2 linked regions of the Bombyx mori genome follow. The protein of the gene in region 2 binds, or shares a complex with, the protein of the main gene of each other region. Links are inferred from orthologs where the notes say so. Each region holds a gene or a part of one and is shown on either strand. Other genes may lie near its edges.

What was found. The genes of interacting proteins can lie anywhere in the genome.
Region 1: nuclear inhibitor of protein phosphatase 1 (region 2) and uncharacterized protein LOC778507 share a complex: the UniProt entries of both Homo sapiens proteins name them as parts of the spliceosome. The link is inferred for Bombyx mori from reciprocal best matches to the Homo sapiens genes PPP1R8 and C9orf78.

What each region holds. Positions count from the first base shown.
Region 1 is NC_085120.1:2,479,713-2,483,898, forward strand, and holds the start of uncharacterized protein LOC778507, read right to left. Parts: upstream 2,854-4,186; coding exon 2,658-2,853; intron 166-2,657; coding exon 1-165. UniProt on the Homo sapiens protein: Plays a role in pre-mRNA splicing by promoting usage of the upstream 3'-splice site at alternative NAGNAG splice sites; these are sites featuring alternative acceptor motifs separated by only a few nucleotides. May also modulate exon inclusion events.
Region 2 is NC_085126.1:4,085,667-4,089,233, forward strand, and holds part of nuclear inhibitor of protein phosphatase 1, read left to right. Parts: coding exon 1-81; intron 82-845; coding exon 846-1,056; intron 1,057-2,526; coding exon 2,527-2,629; intron 2,630-3,567. UniProt on the Homo sapiens protein: Inhibitor subunit of the major nuclear protein phosphatase-1 (PP-1). It has RNA-binding activity but does not cleave RNA and may target PP-1 to RNA-associated substrates. May also be involved in pre-mRNA splicing.

The DNA of each region.
Region 1 (4,186 bases), on a different chromosome or scaffold from region 2:
CTTCTGGTATACCACTGAGCATCTGATTAGAAAGCATTTCTTCTGACCTCTGATTTGAAGAGACTCTCAAATGGTCTGGCAAGGAAAGTAAGGCTGCTTCCTCGGGAGACAAATACTTTAGTGTTTCTGTATGGTTGTGGTCTTTATTGTCTTTGTCACATCCCTCTGGAATTTACAAAGCACAAGTTAATTTTATATTAGTATCTAAACGATTATAAATAATACTATCAGCTATGTAGGGACCTAAATTTTTATTTTTTATTGCTTCGATGGGTGGACATGCTCACAGCCCACCTGGTGTTAAGTGGTTACTGGAGCCCATAGACATCCACAACATAAATGCGCCACCCAACTTGAGATATAAGTTCTAAGGTCTCAAGTATAGTTACAACAGCTGCCTCACCCTTCAAACCGAAACGCATTACTGCTTCACGGCAGAAATAGGCAGAGTGGTGGTACCTACCTGCGCGGACTCACAAGAGGTCCTACCACCAATAACAAACTATACAATCTATTTACCATTTCAAGTTTCCAATCAACATATCTTTGTGCATTTATTTACTGAGTAACCCAAGTTATGTGCATGTAACACACATTTTTTTTCATGGGTATGCTTCCAACTAATTATTTTGATGTGATATAAATATAAAGTATCAATAAGCTTTTTTTTTTTTTTTTTTATTGCTTTTATGGGTGGACGAGCTCACAGCCCACCTGGTGTTAAGTGGTTACTGGAGCCCATAGACATCTACAACGTAAATGCGCCACCCACCATGAGATATAAGTTCTAAGGTCTCAGTATAGTTACAACGGCTACCCCACCCTTCGAACCGAAACGCATTACTGCTTCACGGCGGAAATAGGCGGGGTGGTGGTACCTACCCGTGCGGACTCCCAAGAGGTCCTACCACCAGTGATTACGCAAATTATAATTTTGCGGGTTTGATTTTTATTACACGATGTTATTCCTTCACCGTGGAAGTCAATCGTGAACATTTCTTGAGTACGTATTTCATTAGAAAAATTGGTACCCGCCTGCGGGATTCGAACACCGGTGCATCGCTACACACGAATGCACCGGACGTCTTATCCTTTAGGCCACGACGACTTCAAAAGAAATTATTAATATCTGCAGTCAATAAAAACAGTATCACAGAGGTTAGCCCTCTTCACACTTATGCATAAAACCTGCTCCAAATATTGCACCCAAAGATACAAAACAACTAACTTATACTATCTTAATATCATACAACCTGTAAAAACAATAATTTTCATTTAAGCATACATGATATTTCTAAGAGGCATGTATGTCTAAACGTTGTTTAAGTTGGGATGTGGGTGTCTCTGTAGGGTATGTGCAATTCAATTGAGTGTATAATATACTTACTACAGTATTTACAATACAATATTTTTTACAGATTCGGACCAAATATAGAATCTTAGTGAGTGGTATTTTACATAATTGATACTAGATTTTCATTTAAGCAGCAATATTAACAAGTTTATTAAGTCTGTTTTTTTCTTCTTTTTTTTTTCTTCTTCCTATATAAACCATTCAAGATGCAATGAAACTTGGTATAGTTGTTATTGGTACTTTTGGGAGTGTTGTTATCATAATACCATGAGAATAGTTTAGCAAATAAGTGCTTATGCAGCTTAATGTAATATATGCTTAGGTGTTAGTAATATTAGTAATATCAAAATATACATATAATCCCATCTAGACACTGGTCACAACCACTACCTACAAAAAAAAAACAAATTTACATGAGTTCTAGGAAAACATGTAGATACTGTTTATTTAATGATCTTGTAATGGATCTATAAAATTAGTAATTGATTATGATGTGACAGAACCTCAAGGATGTGATATGGAAAATGCAAATACTATTTTATTGATTGATTTTAAATTTCAGTCTTGAAATAAAAAACCATTAAATTACAGTGGACCCCCTGTAATCCGACAAACGTTTTGTAAGGCAGTGTCAAACTACCTATTACATTTGTCGAATTATACAAGTACTGCCTAAGACCCCCTTTAGTCCAGATTTTTTTACAAAAGAGTACTTTATAATCCAATAAATTACAGATCCAGTAATAAGATTCTGTATGTTATATTCTGAAATGCAAATCATACTTCATTATGTATATTGAATTTAGTAAATTAAAAAATACAAGAGAAACCTTACGTTTTATTATAAAATTAACGTCAGTAATACTTTAAAACTTACAAAAAATACTTTACGAATGCCATGACGACTTTTGAAACTTTCTAGCCACCCCTTGCTGGCCATAAGCATCTTTTATTTTATTTAAGTACTTTAAAAAACTTAAGCTTTCATGGTCAAGATGGAGCCTGAAATGGGCGCATGCCTATTTGTTATCAGTAGTCGAATTCAAACTAACCTATCAAAACCAAAACAATACCTAAGCGTCTAGTACAATAGTGATGGCGCATACCAGTTGTAACCTGTTCAATCATGCATTATCTAAGTACATTAGCGAAGACTGTCAAAAAATATTCAATAATAATAGACATTTCGGATTACAAGGGGTGCCAGATTAGACAGCGGCAGGATTACCGGGGGTCCACTGTTTAAGCAAAATGTAAATTTTTATGTTTGGAAGCTCGTTAAATATTTTCAAGTAGAACTAACCTTTTCTTTTTGCAAGTTGTTCTTCGATGTACTTCATCATCTCCTCATCTTCGTCGCGTTTGTTCGTTTCCGCTGAAAATTGTGTGCCTATTCCGGTATCATACGCATCATCCACCTGCTTCAGTTTCCCGTTCTTAAGGGCTTGCATGTTAATCATCCCGCCAGTTTTAACTTTAAAAGGATCTTTACAAGTCATTTCATCTTCCAACGTTACTTTCTCGCCGGTTGCCAGGGCTATGATGCTCACCCCATTAGGTCTTTCTCGAAGTTTCTGAATTTCTTTTGTTTCTTGAAGTCTTTGCAAAATGTGCTCCTCATCATCAGAGTCTTCATCTTTGATACGCGTACGAAGATTTCTAGGCTTCTTAGATTTCAATTTAATTTCTTCGACTTGTCGATTTTCTTGAGAATCTGAATCTGCCATATTCATTATTTATGTTTGATCTTTTTACCATAGATAACTTATTTCCCTTTTTTAAAGAATGACTGCTTGCAATGTCATTGTTGCCAGTGTTGAGTTAATAAAAATCTCTAGATAAAATATACTTAAAATAAATTTTACTCTTTGAGAATAATGATTTGGAGAAGAATGAGATGAAATTTATTTATTTTATACTGTAATTATGATGAAATTAAATTAAATAAGATGCTTTAAAATATACTGTAGTCTCAGTAAAATTACAAAAATTTACTTAGATACATTCATTATATGAAAGGAAAAATTACATTTATTTATTGCATAGACGTCTGAACGAGCTCAAGGCCCAACTTCAATAAAGTGATTACCAGAGCTAGTACACATCTACAACGAGAGGTCACCTACCGCTAATTGTAGAATATAACAATTCGTTCATTTAACAAACCAGAACGTAGAACTACTTGGCGACCTAAATACTGAGATAGTGCCTATGAGGGCTCACATTAGGTAGTTATTTCATCCACTGCCAAGCTGTCATGCGTTCCAGTTTGAAGAGTAAGATGACCATTATACAACATAATTTAGATTTCTACCTCATGTCTCAAGGTATATCTCATAGCTTTCTCACTCTGATCTCTATTAGCTTTGATATCACTCAATACAAGGTACGCCATAAACTACTTTAAAGACCAATCAACAGTAATATACGTAGGATGTAATGAAACCCAAGGGAGTTGCTGGTCTCCAACCGTGCGCCTCCGTGAGAGGCGGATAATGGCAGCTTTTGGTCATCATTCCCAGAGATATGATCGCACCGATGCGGACCAAAACCAGCACGAAGTCGAGTAGGAGGGCCGTGCTCTCAATGCTCTTCATTTGATGAAGAGTGCTCCACTTAGAGAGTGAGCCTCCCGATGGCACCGATGGTTTGCCGGCGTACCGTGTGCAGTGGTACTCTGTGTTACTTGTGTTAGTAGTGAGCCGGTGCTACTTTTGCATCTTCCTGTCGCTAGTTGTTATGTTCCCGACTTCAACTACATAGTAACGCCCTCCAAAGGGAGGTACCGGTTTGCCAGCGTGGCTTCGAGATTGCTCGTTAGAGTATCGGGCC
Region 2 (3,567 bases):
TTAACTGAATTCAACACAGCCCACAACAGAAGAATATCGATGCTTGGTATATCAACCGAAGATGGAACTGATGTTATCAAGGTGAATAGTATATTCTTGTAAAAAAGTGTATTTAACATTTTAATGTATATATTGCTGTAAATATGAAGATCGACTAGTGAGTCTTTCCATACATGGTTCCCAAAGTATTTTGTGGTTACCAAAATGATTGAGATGAAGTCCCAATTGTGTTCTGTAACAGTTGTTGCCACTTGAACGCATGATAGCTGTGCAGTGAAAATATAGTGGTGTCACCATCCACTATGTTCCTCTTAGTCCATGATACCCCCTTAGTATGATTAAAACAGTTCAGTAATTCAGACAAACATTTCTGTTATATATACCTAACCTATTATATAAGTAACTAGCAGTACCCGTCCACTTCGCTGGGAATTTAAAATTAATATTATTATTTCTCACCCCCACAAAGATTCTCATCATTAACGCCCCCGCAACTGGTGTAGGGAGTCCAACACTCATATAAATATTAGCCTATCCATTAAGTACATGTATTTTCTACGTGGATACCAAGTTTCAAGTTAATCGGATGCATGGTTCAGTAGTTATAACGGAACATCCGTAAAAACCACTGTAGATTTATATATTAGTATAGATACGACCTCTTAAATTTATCGAGAACATTCTGGGCAAGTCGAGTAGCTTCGATGTGTTTCCGGTATCTGACAATGATGGCGTTGTACTTCTCGATCTTTCTCGGCGTTACTAGTTCCTTTGATATACGTTTCGGCTATCCGGACGATAGATGGCGTTACTCTTACCGGCGTAACATTACTATCGTTTTTCAGCCGACAACCGGTACGAAGCGTACCGTTTCGATGCCGGTCGGTGTGCCGAAGAAGCAGAAAAGAAACGTGTCTTTCAACGAAGAAGTGGACATTATCAATCCCGAAGACATAGATCCGTCCATAGGCCGTTTCAGGAACTTGGTCAAGTCGACGATCGTGCCGAATGCGAACGCCGTACCTAAGAAGCTGAAGCTGCAGAGCGCCGAGGAAAGTAAGTCGTTCAAGTTATGGACTAGCTTGTCCTATACTATAATATTATAAAGAGGAAAAATTTGTTTGTTTGTTTGTCTTGAATAGGCTCCGAAACTACTGAACCGATTTGAAAAAATCTTTCACCGTTTGAAAGCTACACTATTCCCAAGTGACATAGGCTATAATCTTTTTTGAAAAAAATTTAGGTATCCTCACTAAAACCCCAATAATGTAATCCAAGGTGTAAAAAAAATACCTAAAATATTCTTTATATCGCGTGCTCTGCGAAAACTATTGATGATAGAATAAAAAAAATGTACTACGACTTTGTAGAACATATTATTATTTATAAAAAGTGTCGCGACAGCATATTATGTCTAACTATTATAATTATGCCGCAATAAGTGTTCTTTTATCTTAACAAAATGAAGCTTCAAATATCGTTGAAATTTTTGTTAAAGACCCGAGCGGAGCCGGAGCGGCCCGCCAGTCCTATATATACGTTAACACACTGACTGGCTGGTTGTCACCGGATAGTTGTCATACGATTCAATTGAGACCTCATGTCTTAAGGTGACAATATTCAGATTACGTCTATGAACTCTGGTCTCCCTTTAACATTTTGATTGCGATGTAGGTCACCGGTGCCCTACGCGGCGTACTGAAGTAATTATGTCGATTTCTATTAGTAAGCGCATCTGGATTGCCTAACTTTGCCTTCTTTTGTTTTTCTGGCCGTCTGGTGTAGTGGTACGTGACATGGTCACTACACAAGGGGGTCGCGGGTTCGAATCCCGCCAAGGGAAGATTTTTGTATGATAAATATAAAATGTATTTTCCTATGGATGTATATTAAAAAATATATATGTATAATAAAAATCTTACATTTATTTCCGTTATCTGGTACCTGTAACACAAGTTCTATATGAACTTAGTACGGGACCAGTGAACGTGGCGTGATTGTTTATAAAAAAAAAGTATGGTTTACTCTTTTAGGTCTCTAGAAATATATTCAGTCTCAGTATCTTAGGATTCGTCTTTGCCAGATTCTAACTAGATATTCCGGCGTCTTAGTAAGAAGATCGAAGAGAGAAATCGACATAATTACTACTTCAGTGCGCCGCGTAGGGCACCGGTGACCTACATCGCAATCAAAATGTTAAAGGAAGACCGGAGCCCATAGACGTAATCTGAATGTTGTCACCTTAAGACATGAGGTCTTAATTGTATCGTATAAGGACTTTCACGCCAGATGTACTGTTAAAAGTGAGACCTTAGAACTTATATCTCGAGGTGGGTGGCGGCGTTTACGTTGTAGATGTCTATGGAGTCCGGTAACCACTTAACACCAGGTGGGCCGTGAGCTTGTCCAACCATCTAAGCAATAAAAAAAGGATGGAGGAGGATGGAGCCACTAGAGGGCCAAAACTGAACTTAAATGGGCTCAGACAAAATGATTTTAATATTGACTTGTTAATATGTATTGCAGATCAACATCACCACTCGTTGAGGCTGCAGGAGATATCTCGGGGAGGGAATCTGTACTCGGATTTGCCCGCACCGAGCTCACATCTAAGTTTGATCGGGGCTAGGTATGTATTAATATTCATTATTGAGCAATGAGAAATTACCCCGATCTATTAACGGTGCTTTTAGGTACCACAAGCACCGGTCACCGTCCTCGCCGAACCTGTCGCATGCGACGAAGGGCTCGACGAGCGAATTAACCCATAGACACAGCCCACTGAGTTTCTCGCCGGATCTTCTCAGTGGGTCGCGTTTCCGATCCGGTGGTAGATTCTGCGAAGCACTGCTCTTACTGGGGCCAGTGTTAGCAACATTCCCGATTTGAGCCCCGTGAGCTCACCTACACACGTTTGGGTGAAGCTGAAATAGCCTATCAGCATAGGTAGGTTTTTTTTTTTTCGTTAATATTATATTGACATGATAAATTAGCTTGTATTCATAGATGCGATTTGTTAAAATAGTTTTGTAATTATAACCAAGAACATATTTGGTTTATAGTTTAATATTTAAACAACCGAATGTACTGCAATATTTATATATAATATGTATATATATATATTTCCATCCCAGAGCGCATGTTACGTCCTATATGGCGGTTTTTACCGATGATATTGCATCCGACCGACTTATTGCGTCCTGTATATGGACGCAAGATTGTCCATTTCTCAAATTCAGCCAGAGGTAGCCGAAAGATCCGTACAATGCGTGGGTAAAATATTGGCATGGACGTTATTTTGTCACCGGATTGATTCTCACCGTATTTCTTAGTTCCGCTGTTTGGCACGCGAATTTTGGAGGTCGCTTCTCCGCGGCGTATATCGGTAGCGTATATTGGATATTTTTTTTACGTAAATTTCACCGATAATGTGACTTCTGTATATAAAAAAATTTCAATTCAAGTTTTTATCAATTCCAATTTGTGGTTTAATTACGTCACACAAAATGACCCCGTTCCAAGAGAAACGCGGGAACAACAGGGGTGAGGGGGCGGAGTTAGAATGCG